Oryzias latipes: one gene and its partners. The protein of the gene in region 3 purifies or fractionates together with the protein of the main gene of each other region. This does not show direct contact. Links are inferred from orthologs where the notes say so. Each region holds a gene or a part of one and is shown on either strand. Other genes may lie near its edges. The genes, in order: gnl2, gtpbp4, lyar, ribosomal RNA processing protein 1 homolog A, mybbp1a and nucleophosmin.

Evidence for each region.
Region 1: the proteins of lyar (region 3) and gnl2 purify together in Homo sapiens (affinity purification with mass spectrometry; 3 studies listed by BioGRID and IntAct, with this or other methods). This does not show direct contact. The link is inferred for Oryzias latipes from reciprocal best matches to the Homo sapiens genes LYAR and GNL2.
Region 2: the proteins of lyar (region 3) and gtpbp4 purify together in Homo sapiens (co-immunoprecipitation; 3 studies listed by BioGRID and IntAct, with this or other methods). This does not show direct contact. The link is inferred for Oryzias latipes from reciprocal best matches to the Homo sapiens genes LYAR and GTPBP4.
Region 4: the proteins of lyar (region 3) and ribosomal RNA processing protein 1 homolog A purify together in Homo sapiens (co-immunoprecipitation; 3 studies listed by IntAct, with this or other methods). This does not show direct contact. The link is inferred for Oryzias latipes from reciprocal best matches to the Homo sapiens genes LYAR and RRP1B.
Region 5: the proteins of lyar (region 3) and mybbp1a purify together in Homo sapiens (affinity purification with mass spectrometry; 3 studies listed by BioGRID and IntAct, with this or other methods). This does not show direct contact. The link is inferred for Oryzias latipes from reciprocal best matches to the Homo sapiens genes LYAR and MYBBP1A.
Region 6: the proteins of lyar (region 3) and nucleophosmin purify together in Homo sapiens (affinity purification with mass spectrometry; 3 studies listed by BioGRID and IntAct, with this or other methods). This does not show direct contact. The link is inferred for Oryzias latipes from reciprocal best matches to the Homo sapiens genes LYAR and NPM1.

Annotation. Positions count from the first base shown.
Region 1 is NC_019874.2:23,620,059-23,624,171, reverse strand, and holds the start of gnl2 (nucleolar GTP-binding protein 2), read left to right. Parts: upstream 1-1,313; 5' UTR 1,314-1,453; coding exon 1,454-1,517; intron 1,518-1,875; coding exon 1,876-1,960; intron 1,961-2,067; coding exon 2,068-2,162; intron 2,163-4,113. UniProt on the Homo sapiens protein: GTPase that associates with pre-60S ribosomal subunits in the nucleolus and is required for their nuclear export and maturation.
Region 2 is NC_019875.2:8,407,236-8,410,735, reverse strand, and holds part of gtpbp4 (nucleolar GTP-binding protein 1), read right to left. Parts: intron 2,000-3,500; coding exon 1,934-1,999; intron 1,826-1,933; coding exon 1,736-1,825; intron 1,656-1,735; coding exon 1,545-1,655; intron 1,467-1,544; coding exon 1,389-1,466; intron 445-1,388; coding exon 393-444; intron 323-392; coding exon 222-322; intron 1-221. UniProt on the Homo sapiens protein: Involved in the biogenesis of the 60S ribosomal subunit. Acts as a TP53 repressor, preventing TP53 stabilization and cell cycle arrest.
Region 3 is NC_019863.2:16,779,075-16,783,126, reverse strand, and holds the start of lyar (cell growth-regulating nucleolar protein), read right to left. Parts: upstream 2,801-4,052; 5' UTR 2,463-2,800; coding exon 2,341-2,462; intron 1,186-2,340; coding exon 1,071-1,185; intron 994-1,070; coding exon 886-993; intron 785-885; coding exon 704-784; intron 509-703; coding exon 205-508; intron 95-204; coding exon 26-94; intron 1-25. Other genes in the region: zbtb49 (zinc finger and BTB domain-containing protein 49), read left to right, coding at 3,496-3,647, 3,742-4,052. UniProt on the Homo sapiens protein: Plays a role in the maintenance of the appropriate processing of 47S/45S pre-rRNA to 32S/30S pre-rRNAs and their subsequent processing to produce 18S and 28S rRNAs. Also acts at the level of transcription regulation.
Region 4 is NC_019879.2:31,069,617-31,072,266, reverse strand, and holds part of ribosomal RNA processing protein 1 homolog A, read left to right. Parts: intron 1-333; coding exon 334-428; intron 429-814; coding exon 815-912; intron 913-1,221; coding exon 1,222-1,241; intron 1,242-1,308; coding exon 1,309-1,458; intron 1,459-1,664; coding exon 1,665-2,650. UniProt on the Homo sapiens protein: Positively regulates DNA damage-induced apoptosis by acting as a transcriptional coactivator of proapoptotic target genes of the transcriptional activator E2F1.
Region 5 is NC_019872.2:24,964,417-24,967,916, forward strand, and holds part of mybbp1a (myb-binding protein 1A), read right to left. Parts: intron 1,757-3,500; coding exon 1,622-1,756; intron 1,494-1,621; coding exon 1,412-1,493; intron 25-1,411; coding exon 1-24. UniProt on the Homo sapiens protein: May activate or repress transcription via interactions with sequence specific DNA-binding proteins. Repression may be mediated at least in part by histone deacetylase activity (HDAC activity).
Region 6 is NC_019872.2:18,722,170-18,726,261, reverse strand, and holds the start of nucleophosmin, read right to left. Parts: upstream 2,801-4,092; 5' UTR 2,686-2,800; coding exon 2,637-2,685; intron 1,672-2,636; coding exon 1,592-1,671; intron 540-1,591; coding exon 420-539; intron 183-419; coding exon 89-182; intron 2-88; coding exon 1-1. UniProt on the Homo sapiens protein: Involved in diverse cellular processes such as ribosome biogenesis, centrosome duplication, protein chaperoning, histone assembly, cell proliferation, and regulation of tumor suppressors p53/TP53 and ARF.

The DNA of each region.
Region 1 (4,113 bases), on a different chromosome or scaffold from region 3:
AAAAAAAGACTACTAGTTTACTGTTTTGCTACAGTTTTACAGTGCTAACATTGAGGGGTTTTCAACAGATGGTCACAAAGATGTGTTGCATTTGACAGACATTATGGGATCTGATGATTTACTAAAAAAATAAACACATGCAAATTCATGCAAGGAAGCAACTGAAGCAACACATTCGGGAAGGGCGGTGGGGCTTTAGATTGTCTGCTGCTGTTGTGGGGACTGTAAATAATACTTTAAAAAATTACAGCGTCTCTGAAGTTTAAAAAAATTAGAAACGACAACTGTTTCCTCGCTGCATGAATAACCTTAAAAAAAACATCTTATAAGATTAAATTTAACATTAAAAATTTATTCAAATTCATATTTTTTTAATAATTGGGTTTCATCTGCTTGAACTTTAACATAGTGACCCAAAACAGTTTCCTTCAAAAGGATTATAGATAAAGTGAAATCACCTTTCGTTTGTCAGAAAATGAACAGAGAGCATTCCTTTGCCTCCCAGCTGCATAAACTAAGTGCCGGATGGTCTCTTTCCAATTTTTTAAAAGATTTACCGACAACTTGTAACACTTTTTATTAAATAATTGTGGCCTCTGTGACTGGCTGTTTTGATCTAATAACTTCTAGGATATTTATTTTATAAATAGAATTTTACTTCTTTTTATGGTGTGGGGGAACATTTTACAGTTTAAACAACAGAAAGGTCATTGTGCAGTAATCGCTTCTATTGTCTTAAAAGTCAAAGTAAAACTTTTGAGAGAAAGGAAGTAAGATTAAAAATTAAAATTGAAATTCCTAAAGACACCATAGGAATTAAGTTAGCATTCTGCTTTTTTGTAAAATTCAGGTGTCACACATTTGTAAACTGCCTTTTATTACAGCTGCAGAAAAAAACTTCTTGAATTTAATACAGTCAAAAAACGGTGGGAGCCTGAACTGAGTAAATTGAGTATGCATAATCATCATAAAAACATAGCTAAAGATAAACTATTTAATCAAATGTGTTTAACTTTATTTTAACTGCGGCATGACCTATTATTATTAATTGACTCATAAAGCACAGAAAAATGTGATTTAAGTGAGTTTCATCTGCAAGATTTCACCTTACTGATGCCCGTTTAAACATTTTCATAATTTAGATGTGACTGTAAAAAATGTTGATGTTTTTTTTTTTGTTTTTTACAATTTATTAGTATTTTTTTTTACACTTTATAGAGCTGCGATCCTAAAAACACAAGAGCATCATTTGCACGATGGAAAATCCCAGGAGCTTTCTGATTGGCTAGATCGTCTGTCGCTCCTTCTATGACGCCACTTCCTTTTTCTTTACTCTAGCACGTGTAAATAGTACGTGTACAGAACATAGTGCCTAAATTTTCTTTTTTGGACATAGTCCTCAGGTTTTCCATTCGGTTTTCTTCTGGTAGGCTTTGCCAGGGAAGTTTTCAACATGGTGAAGCCGAAGTTTAAGGGGAAATGCTCGATTAATCCCTCATCTTCCAGCAGCAACCCCGGTGAGCTAAAGCACAGAGCTAGCACACGTTTGTTTACACTCGATGCTAACTACTATGGCTAACGAGTAAAGAAAACGTTTTGCCGGCTCAATTGCTAAGCTTAAGTGTCAACCAAGCTAAAGCAGACATACGTTTTACTTCTTTAATTTGAGAAAGCGGACTGTTTGTTGCTGCACTTAACCGAATAATTCTGTCAAGTTTTCTGACATTTTGAACTTGAAGTGAACTAACACAAAACAATCTTCTCTAGTAGTAAAATATATGTTGTTGTTAGGACAATAGATTAGACATGTTTGAAAAACCGATACAGGTTTCACTAGTGAAGGAATAACTTGACTACATCTTGTGCGTTTTACAGATCGGGCAAAGGGAGCTGGTGGGAACAACATGAGGGACCGAGCCACAATCAAGCGTCTGAATATGTACAGACAGAAACAAAGATGGTAATTGATTCTCAACAGGGATCTTATTTATCTTGCTTCTCTATAGATATTTATTGTAACTTTAATCATTGGTTTTGTTCACACTGATGCTGAGTTTCTGTTCGCAGTAATAAACATGGAAAAGTGATCAAACCCCTACAGTATCAATCTACAGTCGCTCCAGGAACTGTAGCCAGAGTTGAGCCAAACATCAAGTGGTTTAGTAAGTATCATCTTCATGCTGTATATGTGAATGTTGTGTGTCTTAAATTGTATCATAAAAAAATCATGGAAGCTATAAAAAAAGGCTTGAAATTTAGGCTGTAATGAGCATTTATTATTTAGCTTAAATAGCTGAAAAATAATAATAACCTGGTAGACAGAAGCAACAGTCTGGGCCAGGTGTGGGCAAACTGCAGCCTATTAAACTACTTAATCTGGCCCACCAAGATGGAATAAATTATATTGATAAATCCTTAAAGTTTAATTTTCAATTCTGGAGTGTCCCCATAAACGGTGCACTACAAATAGGTTGAGCTTTGTTTAGGTGTAGACAGTTGTTCTGCATTCATGTGGTGTTGGAAGGCTTGTTGTCTTTCTTACGGTCATGTGCGTTTTCTGTGTGGAGCGGATATTTTTCCGATCATTCCAACACCACATAAATGCAGCATTTCTCTAAGTTTGCTTTTTTTCACCTGAGGAACAGCCACCCATTGGTGTAATTGGCACTACAATAAAAACAAAAGCCACAGTTTCAAAAGAAAACTTCCACAATGTTCTGTCTTAAAACATGTATATTCATTTTCAATCTAAATTAAAACATGTTTTTGTCCAGATACCATGTTATTTCCTTCTTTAATGAGATGGATTACCAAAACACTCCATGCATCAAATTTTAGAACCTTTTGTGGCCCAGGAGTCAAAAGGTTTGCCCATCACTGGTCTCGGCAGAAATGCCCTGAAGGCAGAAACTTTCTCCAGCCCTTCCAGGATGACTCGGATGTGTTGCCAGGCCAGACACGTCCAGATTATTTCCCCAGGAAGGCATCCAGGAGGCAGAGGTTGTCCCAGAGCTGTCCCAGCCTGGCTTCTGTGGCTGTGGAGGAGCAGGGTCTCTACTCCGAGTTCCTTCTGTGTGGCTGAGCCCCTGACTCTTGCTTTAAAGAGGTGCCCAGTCCCCCTGCAGTGGAAGCCCATTCTGGCTGCATGTATCTGGGAATTTATTGTTTCCAAAGTTCATGACTATTGGTGAGGGCAGAAACATGAATTGACCAGTAAAATGAGAGTTTCGCCCATTTTGGCTCAGCGCCCCTCCTTATTCTGCCATTGGATTACTGCACCCGCTGCATCTATGACTCTCTCAATCTCACTCTCCATGCTTCCCTCATATTTAAGTGAGAGACCTCAACAAGAAAGGTACTTAAACTCTTGTAGTTGGAGCATGACCTTTCCATCAATCTGGAGAGGGTAAATGATCGTTTTACTAGTCAAAAACCACAGCGTCAGACTTTGAGGCGTGTGCTCTGCATGTTTCAAATTTAAATGGTAAATGGCGTATACTTATAAAGCGCTTTTCTACCTTCTTTCGAATAAGGCCCAAAGCGCTTTACAGTCACAGACCCGTTCACCCATGAACACACACGTTCACACACTGGTGGCGGCTCCGCTGCCGAACACTGGTGCCAACCTCCCACCAGAGGCAAGGTGGGATTCAGTGTCTTGCCCAAGGACACTTCAGCACATGGGCGTGCTAGTAGGGAATCAAACCTGCAATCTTACAATCATGGGAGCGACCGCCCTAGCACTGCACCATGGCCGCCCGAAATGAGAAATATTCTCCTTTTCCCTTGAAAATTGAGTTGTGTCAAACCAATATGTGCAGATAAATTACTGTTTTTACATTTTATTTTAGTCATTTATCATTAAATTCTGCAGTTCAGGGGTTGACCTGACGTCATTGTTTCACACGGGACATTGTGAGATTTTACCCTCTTTCAACTTGGACCTTCTGTTTGTTCCTCTCATCTTCTTTGGGCAACCAAGAGCCTAACTGATCTCCGTCCATTTATAGACTGTGTGAAGTCTGAGGAGCTGAAAGAAATGGAAGTGATAATAACTGGTTAATTATTGAATAGACTGCCATCAATACAGCCTTAAATTCTCACCTGTACAAC
Region 2 (3,500 bases), on a different chromosome or scaffold from region 3:
CGTCAAAATAAGCAGTTTCTTAAACCTTTTGTAGCAACGTTTTTCTGATTTTCTGGAGATCCAGGTGCAAAAAAAGACATAATACATAATATTCTAAATTAGTATTTTATTCTTTAGCAAACAGCCTGTTTTCTGTCGACATCCACCGTAACAGCTTAATAAGCTGCAGAAAGTCTGCTATAGATTATTTTTTGACAGCACCACAGAATCCTAACACTCACCTTCATGATATCCGGATCGATGTAGTCCGCGATGTTGTGTCCCTCCCACACCTCCGGAATCCTGTCCTGCTTCTCGTCCTCGTTCATCAGATCCCAGTATTCTGAAAACACCACCAGGACGTGAGCCGACTGTCTTCACCAACTCCTCCATCAGAAGGGAAGCCAACTCACTCTGCAGGTCCAGGATATAGTCGTCACCCAGCTCCAGCTCCAGGTCTCTCTCCTGCAACATTTTAGATTGATGGTGAGAAATCTCGGAGCAAACCTGAATGTCAGAATCTAAACTGTCACACGGAAACGTTAGAGGTCAACGGTGAGGATGATCTTCATCAGTGCTTTGTAGTTTAACCTGAAACTGTGTTTAAAGACCAATTCTCTCTGAAAGTAAAATCCTCTGAACAGGTTTGTAAACGAGCTCCTCAGATTCTCAGAGCAGAATTTTTCACTTTCACTGGCCCCACCTGAAACGTTTGAAAGATTTCTCCTGAGACGTTTAAGCTTCCTGGTGATTGGAGACAGTAGTTGCCCTAGAAACGTGACTCAGACCAATCGCTGTCAACTGGCTCCAAATGGTGGCGCCCGTATCCCAGAAAAATGGCAACTGAATCGGCTTCATTTCGATTGAGCTGGAGGTGAGGTGTCTATGGTCTGACTTCATTTTGAATTTTCTCTCAAAAGCAAAACTTTGCCTCTTTACAAATATTTGCATTCATGAACATTTCTCACAAATCTAAAAACCCTTTTTTTATATCATATTTGCCCAGAAAAAGAAATCTGCACCAAAATTTGGATTTGTTGCCCTTCAAAGTTTTCCTGTCGTGTGCAGACAAAAAAGTAAATAAAGGCAGTTTACCATCTTTACACAAAAATCCTCTGTGAGTCTGAAGTTTGGTTTAGTGAGTCTTCATTTAAACAAGTCAGTCACCTTTGCTGTAGCAGCACACGACTACCATCTTCTTATGTCAACCTTATGTATTATTTTGATTTAGACAAAAAAAAATCCTTTTACGCCCTAAAAATGTAGCATAAGAATTTAAAATGAGATTTCAAGCCGTCTATCCTCATGTAGTTTTCTATTCCATTTCAAAGTGATCCTCATCTTCCTGTAGATCACTTTCTGATCCTGCCTGGATCCGCTTGCTGCTCCACATGTGAAATTAGTCATACCAGTTTGCGTTTGGGGGCGTCCACCTCCATGGCTCTCCTGCGGGTCAAAGCTCCATCTGGGATGAAGGGGGGTCTGTCCTGAAAGTCAGGCATCAGAGACAGACGTCAGACACAGAAGCTTACAGCCTCTCAGCGTCCGTCTCCTGTGGGATTTACCTTCTCGTCCCTCTTGGCGGGCATGGCGAGGTGCAGCCTGTTCAGGACGTCGTGGACCTTCTTGCCCTTCATCTTGGTGTTGACGCGGTGGGCGAGGAGCTGGTCACAGGCCTGAACGAACACCGGAGAGATGTCTTATTAGGCAGGAAACAAGGCGTGCGGGGGGGGGCATGAAAGTCTCTGGCTCTCACCTCGGTTTTAACCTGCATGACTCCCTCCTCGGTCAGGGTGCTGGTCTCAATGACGGGGATTCCCTCAGTGGTGAGGTCTGCAAGGATTTTCTGATAGCAAGAGCAGGAATATGAGAGTGCTGCTGAGGTTCTCACAGAAACACGGGAACCCTCTTTCACGTTCTCTTTCATGTTCTCTTTTGTCTCTGCGGTTCTCACCTGGTTCTCCTCAGTCAGCTCGCTGATCTTCTTCACGTCACATTTGTTTGCAACAATGATCAGAGGCTGCAGGACAGAAGCATCCGAATGCTTAGTGATGTCAGATATGACAGCTTCAAATTTCAGCTTAAGCAGACTTTAAAAACCCGAATGAAGGTTTTTTATTCACTTCAGATCTGTAATCTGGGAGTCAGAGTTTAGCCTGATCACCTCACTCAGTAAAGGGCCAAACATATATATACACGGGTGATGGCATTCTTTTCATTTAGTGCTCTAGTATGTGCATAACAATACAGCCAATATAAAAGAAAAAAAAACACAAACTAGACAATTAAACAAAAGCTTGTATATATAATTCAGCCTCCAGAGCTTGTATGAAACTAATGACAGCAGGTCAACAACACATTTGAACCGTCTGTTCTTTGAGGTTTGAGGGTTTCAGAGCTCTGGAGTTCCTCTGTTGCTTCAAACCTTCATAAAACCTGGCTACAATTTGGCTTCACAACTGTTTCTAGTTTATAAGCTATGTGTAGAACGTGGACCAATCACAGCACATGTGATTGGTGTCAACCTCTCTGAAGCTGGAGCTGGAATACAAGCAGACGTGTGCAGAAAAATGAGAAAGGGCTTTGTTTTCTGACCACAGTCATTCAGAGACTCTGACCCACACCATCTACTACAGGAACTGAGTCTGAATCACGCAGCTTTCAGCTGTACTTCCGTGTCTCTGTGACCAAGTTTGGTGACTCGCTGTCCCGACAATTTGGCAGGAGAAAGATGCTGCTACATTTGTCCCCAGTGGAAGGTTGTTTCATAGCAGGAGGAGACTTTGTGAAAGAATGTAAAGTTGCACATTCTGGCATGCTTTTCTTATATTTGGACTTCTTCAATATTTTTTTAAATGTAGGAATATTTTGAGTTCCAAGATGTAAGAACCGTGGCGAGTAATCGGTGTCCCTCTCACCCTCCGCGGGTGGTTTCTCCTCCAAGCTTGGGTCCTCTACCAGAGGCCTGGGAGCTTGAGGGTCCTGCACAGTATCTTAGCTGTTCCTAGCACTGCACTTTTCTGGACTAAGAGGTCTGAGGTCTTTCCAGGTATCTGTTGTAGCCACTCCTCCAGCTTAGGGGTCACTGCCCTGAGTGCTCCAATTACCACAGGCACCACTGTCTCCTTCACTTTCCAGGCTTTCCCCAGTTCTTCTCTGAGTCCCTGGTATTTCTCCAGTTTCTCATGTTCCTTCTTCCTGATGTTCCCATTGCGTGGCACTGCCACATCCACCACAACGGCTTTCCTCTGTTCTTTGTCCACCACTACAATGTCTGGTTGGTTCGCCATTACTGTTCTATCAGTCTGGATCTGGAAGTCCCACAGGATCTTTGATCTCATTCTCTACCACCTTCGGAGGTGTTTCCCATTTTGACCTTGGGGTTTCCAGTTCATATTCTGCACACATGTTCCTGTATATTATTCCAGCCACTTGATTGTAGCGCTCCATGTATGCTTTCCCTGCCAGCATCTTACACCCTGCAGTTATGTGCTGGATTGTTTCAGGAGCCTCTTTGCACA
Region 3 (4,052 bases):
TTAAGTCAGTCTAGAGTTAACTTACCCAGAGGAACAGCTTGATCTTCAGCCTCATTTGACATCTCAGCATCATTAGCCTCTGCTGCAACCTTAACTGGAAAAAAGGTTGAAAGAAAACAGGAACACAGGCCTTAAACACAAAAACCATCCTTTTTATCAAACAAACAAAAAAGTGTTGTAATAAGAAAAAAAAATGTTATTTACTCCTTTTCTTGGCAGATATCTCATTTTCATCACAGTTTTGCTCTTCATCTTCTGCTTCTTTGTGTTTTCTTTTTCCATCCTTTTTCCTTTTCCCTGTTTGGCTTTCTTTCTGCTCTTGTGTGACTTGTTCGTCATATAGTTTTGGAGCTTTTCCGTTGTTCTGCTGCCGGGCCTCTTTGCGTTCTCTTTTGTTCATCTTTTTGTTTTTCTTCACATCTTCGTGGCCAAACGGAGTTTGAGTTCCATTAGTGTTTGCTTGGACTTCAGCTTCTTTCTCCATGTGCTGCTGTGTATCTTCTGGAACCTGGGGTGCAAAAGATTACAGATAAGCAAAACAACAGTACAGTGAAAGAATGAACGGTATTACACAACACTTAATACATTTCCAGCCCTTAAATATCACATTAATATTATTTTCCATTGATTTCCATTAAAGCTTAGGCTCCCCAGCTAATAATTTAGTGTAATATTTACTTTAACAAACAAAACAGCTACTTACATCGACGGCAGCAGCAATTATGTTCCACACTTCCTCGTGTAGGCTTGTGTTGGATATTTTTAGACTGTTTTTCATCCAGTTCTGAAAGAAGAAAAAACATTAACAGTAATAAGTAAATACACATTTTAATAATCTTCCTGGTAAAAGCCTAAACCCTTCTTACAAGTTTTGGTAACACCAACCTGAAACTTGGCTTTCTTCCTGGGGACATTGTCGTATGCACTGACTTGCCTGAGCACATCTCTCAGCTTGGGACTGATGCTTGATTTGTTCAGGGCTTCATGGATTCTCTTCAGGAAAAGACACAAGTCAGGATCCAAAAGAAAAACAAATGTTCACATATAATCGAACTTGGGAAGATGTTTACCTGTAACCACTGCTGTTGTTTGACATCGCCTTTGTTTGCCTTGGCCTCGAAGCCTTTCCCCCCATACTTCTGGTCTTCACTGATACACTTAGTGTGATTTTTATAGTCGTCGTCCCTAGGTAATACGCAGAAAAGAGTCACATTGAATGCGTTACTTGGTCAGTCACAGAGCTCATTATGCGTTAGAATAGAGTATAAGAGAATAAATCTTTATTGATCCCACAAAAAGGAAATTTCCGTGTTACCATAGCTCTATTAAAAAACAGCAGATAGATAATAACTAATACTAAAAAATACACTTAAAAATGAAGAACAGTGATTATTCCCCAGTGTAGTGGCACTCTCTCTGTGTCTTTCTCTTGTTCCACCGTTTGACGTCTGTCCGGCAACTGTTATTTGAAACGCGAGTGAGACACGCAGAGAGAGTGCCACTACAATTTAGTCAAAAAACGATATCGCTTCCAACTTTCTCCGGCTTCAATCAACAATGAGTCTCACTAACAGCATCTCTGTGACGTAGGGTTTTTAATTGGAAGTTCAAACAATAATTATTTAAATTAACTATTAAATCAAAACAGTGCATTTGGCTCCAAAAATAACTATTAAATATAAACTGTGAATTTGGCTCCAACATCCAGTGTCTATGAGGTGTTGTAGAGTCTAGTAGCTAACAGAAAGAAAATTCTGTGACAAGGTGTTGAAGTCCATGGTTTCATGCTGAGGATGATGATGAAGAGGATTGTCCATGATGCATTTCAGTTTCTGTAACATCGTCCTGTGACCCTCCACAGTCACAGACTCTATAAGGGACATCCAGAATGGAGTCGTATCTCCATACCAGTTTGTTGATCCTCTTCCTATGTCAGTTAGTGCATCCGCCACCGCCCCAGGACTTCGCCACAATAAAAAAAAATCTTAAGAGTCCTGTAAACTCTGAAGAGACCCCAGTCTCCTCAGCCTCTCCTTCGATCTCCGGTCACTTCTCTGGTGGAATTTTGTTGTTGCCAAGCAACAACAGCTGATCGATGCACCCGTATCCCACTTCAGACCCAGAAGTGGTGGGAAATAGTCAAATTAGGGCTAGCAGGCACGTGACAACGCAAAAGAAGCCCAAGGCAATCAAAATCAGTTTAGAGAAAGAAACAAATCAAGTAAGCCTACAGGGCACTACGGTAACCTGCAGCCTAGTACCATGGCACCGGTTGGAGGAAAAACAAACTTGTTCCCGACGATATTTTGTAATGTTTAGAAATAACCCAATTGGTCTTACCAGAAATCTTTTCCGCAGTCAATGCAGGACAACACCTGACACCCACGGCAGATGTTCACGTGTTTATCGACCTGGGCTTTTTTCAGAGACTCGCCACACGCATTGCAGGTGAAGAACACCATTTTGATCAATTTTATCCACAGAAGCAACCTTTCTCTAAATTAATAAAGACAATATGTAGATTAAACCAGCAAAACGACAGAAAGTTAAACCACTTTAAACACCATCAATTAATGCACTGACTAGAGACCTGCCTACGGCAAGCTAACGTTTTTTCTAGTAAGTTATAAAAAACGCATGACAAAGAACAAAACCTTCATTGTCTTTAAAAATACCCAAAAATTAGAGCCCGTTAAATTAACCTCTTTAAAATTTTAATTTGAGCGTAAACGTGCGGGTTGAGTTTCTCCCGTCTAAACTTTTGAACAGACACGTGATTACATTCCTTGAAGCTACAGTCTTGATTCTCCGTATAGAAATTTTAACTAGACACCAGTTCCGCAGACCTTTTTTTTTCTTCCTGAAAACCTTTTTTTACATTTCATAACACAAAATAATTATACTACAAAGAGGTATATTTACGATTTCAACAGCACTTTAGAAATGTATATAGTCCCACTGTTTGGGGGTTTAGTATAAGATGTATTTCTTTCCCACGAGGGGTACAAAATAAGCGTTGTACCAGGAAGTTACGTAATGTTATTAAGCGCGAGTGACCCGTCATCCCAATAAAAGACGAAACACTTCACAATGATTTTGGGACCCCTCTGAATGGATATCGACAATAGTAAAATAATATATATAAATAAACACCTTTATAATTAAGACAGGTCAGCTGTTTATTTATTAGTTGTCATTGTAAATGGCTCGAATAGCCACGCTGTTAGCTTAGTAGCAGGTCAAATTTTTGCATGGACGGTCTTGTAGCGATTCTTGAGCTACATGACAGTTATTTTTGAAAAAATATATATATATATTTATACATGGACTGCGGTGTGTGGCTCACTACTAGAGTTCAACCCTTTAATCAACTTTTACTTTTGACTCGTAATCAACTTTTACTTTTGAGTCGTGTAAACTCAGGCTGTTGTTGTTGTTTTAAATGTGATTTTTGTGTGTTTCGCTTTGAAAAGGGGGGAAGCTGAGTGATCATAAATGGAGACCCTGTCCAGCCACAGCTCCTACCTCCTACAGCAGCTCCAGGAGCAAAGAATCCAAGGGCTGCTTTGTGACTGCATGCTGGTGGTTAAAGGAGTCTGTTTTAAAGCTCACAAAAACGTTCTGGCTGCTTTTAGTTCCTACTTTAGGTACTTTTATGCATTTATTTGACAACAGAATATCCACATGAGGTGTTGCTGTGAACCCTAAGAGATATGACCATTTTTTACATTTGTTTTTCAGGTCTTTGTTCCAAAATTCTCCCAGTCAGAAGAATGACGTCTTTAACTTGGTTATCCAAGATGTCAGTGGCATTGGCCAAATATTGGACTACATGTATACATCCCACCTGGACATTAACCAAGAGAATGTACAGGCACTTCTAGACATAGCACAGAACTTACAAGTTCCAAACGTTCAGAATTTGTGTAATGCTTTCCTCAAACCTTGCCCCCCACCCGTGGAAATGCATTCCTTCACTCTCCCAGGAATGCTAGGCTCAGAGCACGATTGCCTTCTGGGAAGCAGCCTGACTCACGATGTTAACCTGCACT
Region 4 (2,650 bases), on a different chromosome or scaffold from region 3:
CCCTCCCCCTGTTCTCGTGTTCCCTCCCCCTGTTCTCGTGTTCCCTCCCCCTGTTCTCGTGTTCCCTCCCCCTGTTTTCGTGTTCGCTCCCCCTGTTCTCGTGTCCCTCCCCCTGTTCTCGTGTTCCCTCCCCCTGTTCTCGTGTCCCCTCCCCCTGTTCTCGTGTCCCCTCCCCCTGTTCTCGTGTTCCCTCTCCCCGTTCTCGTGTTCCCTCCCCCCGTTCTCGTGTTCCCTCCCCCTGTTCTCGTGTTCCCTCCCCCTGTTCTCGTGTTCCCTCCCCCTGTCGCCTCATTGTGTTGGTTTCCTATAGCTGGTTTAGGTTTCTGCTTTCAGGCAAAGACTCCAGTGAGGAAGAGGAGGAGGATCTTCTTCCTTTGGACCTGGAGTCCCAGCTTTCAGGTGATGAGGACATTGGACCAGTCTTACAGGTAAGGGGTGGGGTCTTGATGATTTGAGTGTTCTGGACAGGGACAGCTGTCAGGAGTTAGGTGGTCTGAACCTGGCCGGTCCAACAGCCATCAGAACGTACATCATCTAGCAGATCTGTCCTCCATGACGAGGAGACGGTTGCTGGTTGAAAACCAACAGATTTTTGTATCATTTGAAGAAGCTTTGGCTTCAGACCGTCCCATGGTTCTGGTACCAGATGTCATTAGAAACAAACCTCTCAGAACTTCTATTTGCTGCTGAGATGAACTTTTTTAAAGACTTTGTTTTCAGCGTTTAGGCGAAGAGGTCAAATGTCGTCTGTCTGCCACACAAACAGATCTCGATGATGAAGATGACCTCTAAAGCTTCTTCTGGTGTTTTTCAGTTCGATTACGCCGCTGTTGCAGACCGGCTCCTGGCGCTGGCGGGTCGGGGCAGCACGCCAGGTCAGAACCGACGAAAACTCTACAGAATCGTTAAAGTGTGAGTATCTTTTGGTGCCGTCTGTGTTTCTGTGCTCCTCTGGTCCATAAGTGTTTGAACACGACCAGAATCTGGTTCTGGCCAGGTTCTTGGGTGCTAGAATGTAGAACTTGGATGAGGAGCTCAGATCCCACATTACCTCCTGTCTGGCCCAAGGCTCCCCTGTCGGGTTCTGCTGGTCGTTGGACTGAGGTCCACCTCTGTGGCTGCTATCAGAACAGAAATGTTCTGGTTTTGTTGAGGAGAACTTGTAGAACTGAGTCCAAACGATCCTCTGTGCTTCTGCTTGTCTTCCATGTGCTGCTGCAGGCTGAAGGACCTCAGTGAAGGTAGAACCTCCTGGATTTACTGCGGTTCTCGTGGATCTTCAGGGTCTCACTCCGCTCCTCTGCTCAGGCGTGTTTCCTCAGGACGAGTATCCGGAGGAGGTCTCCACGGACGAAGACGACGACATGTTCGGCAGCAGGAAGAGGATGAAGAGGGCGGCTCGCCTGGGCCGTGGTGAGGAAGAGCCGGCAGCAGGACAGAAGAAGGCTTCCAAGTCAGGTGGGCGGTTCAGCCGCTGGGGTGGATCCAAACCTTCTGCCGGTTCTTGGAACTCACAGCTGTGGTTCCTGTCAAACAGAACCTTTGTCGGTTTGGTTCTGTTGACTTTTCTTTCAAACTGAAATCATCTTCTGATCTTTGTGGGGTTCTTGTAGCCGGGCCGGGTCGTCTCAGGCAGAACTTTTATTCTGCTTCCTTGTTTTCAGGAAGCGACGTCACCAAGCAGCAAAACCAGAACAATGAACCAGCAGAGGCAGCGGTGAAGAAGAAGAAGAAGAAGAAGAGGAAGAAGGAAGTTCTTGGAGATGAAGTGAACTCTGAAGACCAAACTGCAGCTGACGTGAAGATGGCAGAAGAGCGTTTGCAGAGAGCCTCGGATCCATCAGAGGGTCCAGAAGAAACCCCAGAGCTAAAGGCTGCAGAGGAAGAGCTCAGCACTGCCGTGCAGAAAGACCAACCAAAGAGGAAGAAGAGCACCAAAGCGGAGCTCCAAGAGCTTCAGGAGCTTCAGCAGACCTCGGCTCCAGCTGAAACAGAGAACCGCGGTTCCTTAATGAAGAAGAAGAGGAGGAGGAGGAGGAAAAGCAAGGTTCTGGGGGTCGAAGCAGAGGAAGCCTCAGAACCTCCCGAGTCCAAAGATGAAGCTCCTGCTGAGATCACAAACAAGGCCAAGAAGATGAAGGCCCCAGCTGGGCCTCCAGTCAACGGCTCGCCGGCTTCTGTCAAAGCGGAGGCTGAAGGCGGCGTGGAGTCAAGCGTGGTCGTTCCAAAGAGGAGAAAGGTCTCATCCATCAGGATGAAGAAAAGTCCAAGGGCCGAAGAAGCGGACCAGCAGAAGACCGGAGGTCCTGAAGTCTCTGCTGGAGCGTTACAGCAGCCAGAGGCCACAGGAGACGAGCAGAAGTCTGGTGCCGACGTGGACCCGAAACCCCTAGAGTCTCCAGAACCAGGACCCGTCTCACCTCTGAAGAAGAGGAAGAAGAGGAAACTGTCAGCAGCTGAGCAGGCCAGAGGAAATGCAGAAAGCCTGCAAGCTGGCGAAGAGAAAACACCTGAGGTTACCGTGGCAACAGCAGCAAAGAAGAAAAAGATGAACGGACCCCAGAGTCAGATCTCAGAGGAAACCCGTCTGACAACTGAGCTGCCATCGGTTGACTGCCAGGAGAAAGTGAAGAAGAGGAGGAGGAAGAAG
Region 5 (3,500 bases), on a different chromosome or scaffold from region 3:
GTCCACTTGGCCCATGAACGGCAGCTAAACAGAGAGGGACACATGTCAGGGTTTCTTCACACCTAGCAGGGCTGCAAAATTTCCTTTAGGTTTAACATTTATTTCTTTATAGTCTACAATCTATACTTTCTGGTTAAAAAGGTTTTTTACATTTTCATAAAATAATTCTTCTCAAATTTACAGTCTGGGTTTTTCATTCTCTTTAATACAATCCTGATCTGACCCCATAACAACCAAGCTACTATTTTTGTCAAATGGATCTAGTTTTATCCAAAAGAAATTCTGTTTGACTGTTGAGTCATAAACTCTGATAATAGGATTGATTATATTATTGTTCTTTCAAGACTTTCAGAAGGTTTCATTTTGTTCTCTTTTCTTCATTTGTGAATAAAAGCTTTTCCGTTGAAAATGTCTTTTCTTCACCCATTTTCCAAAAGCGTATGTCAGACAGCTTTTGTTAAACAGATTCTTTTTGCAAAAAGTTGTTCAGAAAAACTACGCTTATTGTTTTTGCAGATTATTAGCATTGGTTTCATGATGTAACAAGTAAATAAATAAAAAAATAATCGAACATCAATTTTGGGATTTTCTCTTTAATGCAAAGATGTCCAATCTTTTTGCAAAGAGGGCCGATTTGGAGAGGTGAAAATAATTAAATCATCTGTATAATATAGTATAATATAGATATATAATATAGAATTTAGTCAATCACAATCAAGAAACTGTACAACCAGATTTTCCAAAGCGCTGTGGGCCGCATAGTATTCATTTGGTGAAGGGAGTCAGTGGGTTGGTGAAAATTTGAATGCGGGTCGCATTTGGCTCATGGGCCGGACTTTGGACATGCCTGCTTTAATGCATTTTACCTCTTGTCGTAGTTTTGACCTGCAATGCCATCCTTTCTGGGAAAAGTGCTAAAGAAATAAGCTTTACTTACTTACTAAATGTTTTTGAACTAAAGGCTTTCCACCTCAACAAATGAACATTTAAAATATACTAAATGGATTTGTTTTAAAGCAACAACAAATACTAAAGTAAAGGAGAAGATTCCTGTGAAGATGACAGGTGAACCAAAAGGAGGCCAAGTAATCCAGGACACTTCATGACCCAATAAAAATCCAGGAACAGACCTGACTGCTGAGCACCCAAGACACTCAGCAGGTATGAACGGCCTTAGTTTTGACCCCGAGGTAAAGCGAAACCTGCAGTTAATTTACTTTTGTTTTAGATTAAAATGAAAACAGAAATAAAATATTTATTTATTTATTTTATAAGAGTATCGGTAAAATACCGGATCAAAAAGCAGTATCAATAAGAGTAGTAGTACCGTTAAAACCTTAACGATACCCATCCCTACTCGAATGATCTGAGCAAGGCAACAACATGAAAGGAAGTCAAATAATAAACCTACATTGTGTCCTGTGGGTTTCTGAGCCTCTTTGGCTTCGACAGGAAGAGCTCCTCGCAGAAGTTTCACCAAATACAGGCATGCACTGAGGAAAGGAGAGGAACACGATCAACATGGAGTCTAACTCTAACTTCAATTTATACTTTCTGTCTCTTTTTACCACAGGCCTATTTTTTTAAACCTTTCCAAATGACAGTGGAGACAGGATTCTACCTGAAGTAGTAGAGACTCAGCGAGGAGTCGGACAGTTTCTGGCATTTGGTCATCAGCTTCTCCAGCAGGTCATGCAGCTCCCCCTGCCTGTCACCTGCGGTTCTGCAGTAACTTTTAGACCTACAGAGCTGGTTCCTGATAGAAAAACATGTTTGTGCCCTTTAATCAACTTCATCCCATTCAAAATACAAATGTGATCAATGAATGAAGCTTAGGGGAAAAAAAAGGAGAACAAATGTTTGACATTTAAGTTCAGACTACAAGAAACTCTGCTGATAGATCAAACTTTCAAACTTTATTTATAAAATAGCGCTTCTCATGCACTTTGTGCAGCTCGAAGCGCTTTAACACTAAAAACAGTAAACACACAACATTACAATAAAAACCCCAACCCACCCTTCACCCTTCCCACACCCCTCCATTAAACCACATGACCCATGGCTCCCACGTACAATGAAATATGACTATGTAACTGTAAAAGAATAAATAAATAAATAAATAAACAAGTATGGCTTAGCTCTGCTGTGAGGAAACAGTATCTGGGAATCCTTTCATACCAGGAGCCAGCCCGGCCACCGGAACATCGCCACAGTGCCCACCCAGACCGGGACAACACCGGGGTCCCCCTCACAGCCAAAAGCTGTAAAATTAGACCCCAGCCGCCCCAGCAAGGGCAACAACTGCAGCAACAACCGCTGACCAAGCCGGCAAGCCCTGGAGGAAAAGATCCCCTCAAGAAACACTGGGGCTAAAATCATAAGATGCTAAAATTAAAAACATAAAAAAGAAAAAACATAAAATTGAAAATAAGATGCATAAAATTAAAATAAATACATAAATAAAATAGCCTATACTAAAACTAATAGAATAAATTAGCAGTTAAAATCAACTAAAAGCTAAATTAAAAAGGTGGGTCTTGAGCCTCTTCTTAAAAACCTCTACTGTCTCTGCGGCCCTGAGGCTCTCCGGAAGGCCGTTCCACAGGCGAGGACCGTGATGGCAGAACGAAGCCTCACCATAAGTTTTGGTCCTCACCTTGGGAACAACTAAGAGGCCAGTACCGGAAGACCTCAAGGTCCGCGAGGGCTCATATTTTAAAAGAATATCATTTAAATAAGAAGGCCCAAGACCATAAAAACATTTATAAACCATTAAAAGAATTTTAAAATCAATCCTGAAACGCACAGGGAGCCAATGCAGCGATTTTAAAACCGGTGTAATGTGTTCCCGCCCTCTGGTTCTCGTCAGAACTCGTGCCGCTGAGTTCTGTAGAAGTTGTAAGTTTGAAAGAGACTTTTTGGGTAAACCAGAGAGCAGGGCATTACAGTAATCTAAACGACTGAAAATAAAAGCATGCATTAGCACTTCTGTGCTGGCAAGAGAGAGGAACGGGCGGACTCTGGCAATGTTTTTGAGATGATAAAATCCTGTCTTAACGACATTTTTAATGTGTGGGATAAAATTTAGCTCAGAGTCAAAAAGTACGCCCAGGTTTCTCACACATTGAGAAGGTTTAAAATTATGAAGATGTGGTAAAATCATCTCTCTCTTGTCTTCAGAACCGATGATTAAAACTTCAGTTTTGTCCTGGTTGAGCTGTAAGAAATTTTCTGCCATCCACAACTTTATATCTAAAATGCAGTTTAAAAGAGTGTTGACAGGTTCCAGGTCATCAGGAGACACGGCGATGTAAAGCTGTGTATCGTCAGCATAGCTGTGAAAGTCAACGCCATGTCTCCTGATGACCTCCCCAAGAGGCAACATATACAAATTAAAAAGTATTGGCCCTAAAATTGACCCTTGGGGAACCCCACAGCTTATTTCGTGGATTCCTGAAGAGCACATATCCATACTTACATAAAAGTGTCGATCTGTCAGG
Region 6 (4,092 bases), on a different chromosome or scaffold from region 3:
ACTGAAAGCAGATTAGACAGCAGATGGTGTGATGAATGCAGACCCACAGAAGGGCAGATAAAAGAACCATCTTCAGAAAAACACTTACTGACGAGGTGCTGTCCGCTCAGATGGATCGGACCGGAACCCGCCTTCAGACGGAACACTGCTGGGGGTGTGATCGTGAACCCGCCGAGACACACCTACGAAATCAAGCATGCAAGGTCACACAAGCTGGCTTTAAAGATCCATATTTAAATGCGCCGAAACAAACAGAATGGGCTTCAGGAACTTAACCTACAACACATCAACGTCACAGATCTTTTCTTCAGAAAAAAAAAATTATTCCGAAATTTGAGATCTGTCAGTACAGTCCTCCATACAAAGGCTAACTGTAAAATATCCTTTCAGGTGAGTGAAGGAGAACTGTGTGTACTTACACTTGGAAGGGTGGAGGGTTTGAGTGACACCAGAGCTGCCTTGATTTTCTGCCCCTCTGCGTTCTGTCCTTCCACCTCCACCATGTTAAGCTCGTCTTTGGTGCTGGGGTCAACACAAGCCTGAAGGGGCAAACAAGACAAGGTCTGAGCTACGTTTTAAACATTCTTGTAGCATTCTTCTCACAATGAAGGACATATTTAAAGAAAACTGAGCTTAAACCTGAATTTTTGAGTCTATTTTAAGTCACGAATGAGGAGCAGATGAAAGAAATGTAATTCTATTTGTGGCGCTGGTGCTACAATGAACGTGCCAAACGTTCCCTGCTCCGGTCCATCCTGCGTCGACTTGTTGACTACTAGATCCACGTCTTCCTCGTCTGAGCTGATTTGTTGCAAACTGAACGGCTGAATAGCTTCAACATTGCTCACCATTTTATTGCACTGCTAATGTTGAGCTAGATTCACATAGCCCATTGTGGACAAGCAAGGAGAGACCACCAACACGTCCAAACCTATAGCTGGAAGAGGCTTGGTGCCAAATGTCAAAACGGTGCAAATCTCACAATTTGGGCACAAAACGATAACATTTTGGTTCGTTGCCAACACCCTTGCAATGATTGAAACTGATAACCACCATGCTAGGAGAGTGTTTCGTTATTTGAAAGACAAACGCAGGCACCATCAGGCCTGTCCTAGTGTCTGGGTTCATTTGGTAAACCAGCTACTCCGAGCCCCTGACTGCCTAGATTCCAGTAGAAGCGCGAAAAACATTTACATAGTTTTACTGAGTTAGGCTGCTCAAACATGAAGTTAGGGGGCGGAGGCACATTTTTCCTGGCGGCCTGCAGAAACTATGTCCTACAAGACCACTTTTTAATACTTTTTTTTGGCATAAATTGGCATTATCATGCTTAAAAGCCACTGGGAACACTTTGACAAAAGATCAAGTGGGACTTTTAATGCATTATAATTCAATACATTTAAATTCATTAAATAAAGCCTGAAATTTAAACGCAGTTTAAAATGATAAAAATCCGCTCATTTAAACCCACAAACAGGACTTCAAGCTAAAATCCAAAATATTTCCATTGATGTGCCTAAAAATTTATTCGACATGAGAGCTCAAACGCAAGAATATCACAGAACTGTAGTCTTCATTTCATTATAATTACCAGTTTGAGATCTAACTGATGCTCCAGCTCATCATCTTCAGGACTGAAGAGCACTTCCTTCCCAGCCTCCAATGTGCATCCTAAAAGACAAAAAACGGTTTTAAAATGAGAGAAAATATCAAACTCAACACTAGAGGGCGCTCTAAACGATGCACCACGTGGGAGAAAAAAGTATTTGATTTCCGCTTAACAGTTTTAAAGTTCCCATATTTTATCTTGGATATAATTTATTTAAAATAAAAACAAACTCTAGAGACTCTAAATAGTTTTTTTTAAGTGTTGGCAGGAGTAAATTTCAAATTTGTAATGACTTACTGGAAGATAAAAACTATTTTGACTTCATTTCTAAACAACTGTTTCACCATCTAAAATAAATCTTTATGAAAGAAAAAGAATCTTTTTTTTCTCTGCACCACGTGGCAAACGAAACAGATTACAATAAAAGGACTAAAACGTATAACATCACGAAATGAAGAACAAAAGAAAATATATGCAATTGTATTATAAACAAATGTGAATAAATATAAACGTAAGTATATTTCTAAAGGGAATTAATTAGGTCAGCTTTAAAGGGGGAGGGGCCTAACGGCACGCTGGAAACCACGTTGTCGAATTTTCTAGAAATTAGTTCATGGTCTTGCAATTTAATTTAAAGCTTTTTATCTATTTATTTTTTCACAACGAATATCTTATGCTAGGGTAAATTAAAAAGCAATATTAATATGAGCTGTATTTGTCAGAAACGTAGTTTTCATTTGGGGAGAAAAAAAGCACGGCGACCGCCATGTTGATATATTCAAGGAGCATGTGCGTAATAAGTCTGACGCCGTATTTCCAGTCATGATCCAGTCAATAAAACACATAAGTCATAAAATAAAAACAGACTACACATTTTATGTCCCTTTCTTTAACGTTACACATTCAATTTTATTCAAAAATGGACCGCGCGCGCCTCAGCGGCCGCTCCACCTCCTCGCACGAGCTATACACACACGTGTGTCCAACGTGCACGAAGAAGAAAAGCAAACCTACCAACTTCTCTTACCATATAAAAATGTCTGTGGTGCCAACGATTCTTCGTCCAAACCGTTCATTTTGCTGACTGACACGACCGCCGCTGATCTGCACGGGAACAATCACTGATCGTGGATGGAAGGACTGATGGGGCTGTTCTTCTACTCTGCTGAAACGGAAGTGATCCAGTGGGTGAGAGCGCCTCCTACAGCTCGGCGGAAGTTAGTGCTTAGGGGGTGTTAGAAATTCATATTGAAAGACAGATGCATTTAAAACAATCTAAAGCTAGTTTCTGATTTTATTGATTATTCAGACGTTATTACTGACGAAAGCTTCATTTTCTTCCCAGATTTTGTGAGGCGTTTGATACAGGGTTCATACGGTCATGAAAAACCTAGAAAAGTTTTGGAAATTGAAAATGCAATGTTTTAAGTTCTTGAACAGTTTGTGAAAAACGAAATCTTCTGGAAAGTTTTGGAAAAGTCATGGAATGTTAATATTTTTGATTAAAAAAACATTAATAAAAAGGTTTTACATGAGATTCGAATTTAAATTGTGACAAAAGTTCAACCTCACTTTCTGAACGGAAGTTCCATATAAGTTTTTCTGGAGCATAATTACACTGACCAAAAATATGAACGCAACACATTTGTTATTGCTCCCATTTTTTATGGTATGAACTAGAGGGCTGCATTGGGATCGGGTCCCGCCGGGTCCCGCGGGACCCAACCCAAATCTCGCGGGATTGGGCGGTTTGAATTGTGCTGCGGGCGGGAGCGGGCGGCAAAAAATAAACCCCGCGGGATCAGTGCTGCCATGAATATCTCATGAATATATATTAGCGGACTACGTTAGGCTGTGCGGCTGTTTGATTCTTATGTACTGAAGCTCCGTGAAGGCACCAGGTAGAGACGCCCAATGGCTTCTGTCATCTAACCTGTTGTTGGGGGTGCGCCCCGCCCCGCCTCTTACTAAGAGCGCGCTTCAGGCCGTCTGTCTGCGCGCGCACACACGCACACTTTTAACCGAACAGGATTTGTGAAAATATATTTAATAATTAAGTTGCACATTACACAAAAGAGGAATGCATCAAAAGATGAGTCTGGAGGAGGTCATGAATCTCTTTAGTAATAATATCAATACAAATACGTGTTTTGTTCCTGCGGGACGGGAGACGATACAAAATCAATGCATCTCTATTACTGTGCGGGACTAAATTCTATGAGTTTTGCGGGTGCGGGCGGGAGTGGACATACATATTGCGGGAGCGGGCGGGAGTGTAACGCATACGTTGCGGGAGCGGGCGGGATTGGTCAAAAATTCAGCGGGCGCGGGCGGGAGCGGGATGAAGAAAATAGTCCCGCGCAGGGCTCTAGTATGAACTAAAAGATGTGAAACATTTTCCACATACCCAAAATAACCAGTTCTCTGAAATTTTGTTCACAAATCTGTCTGAATCTGTGATAGTGAGCACTTCTCCTTTGCCA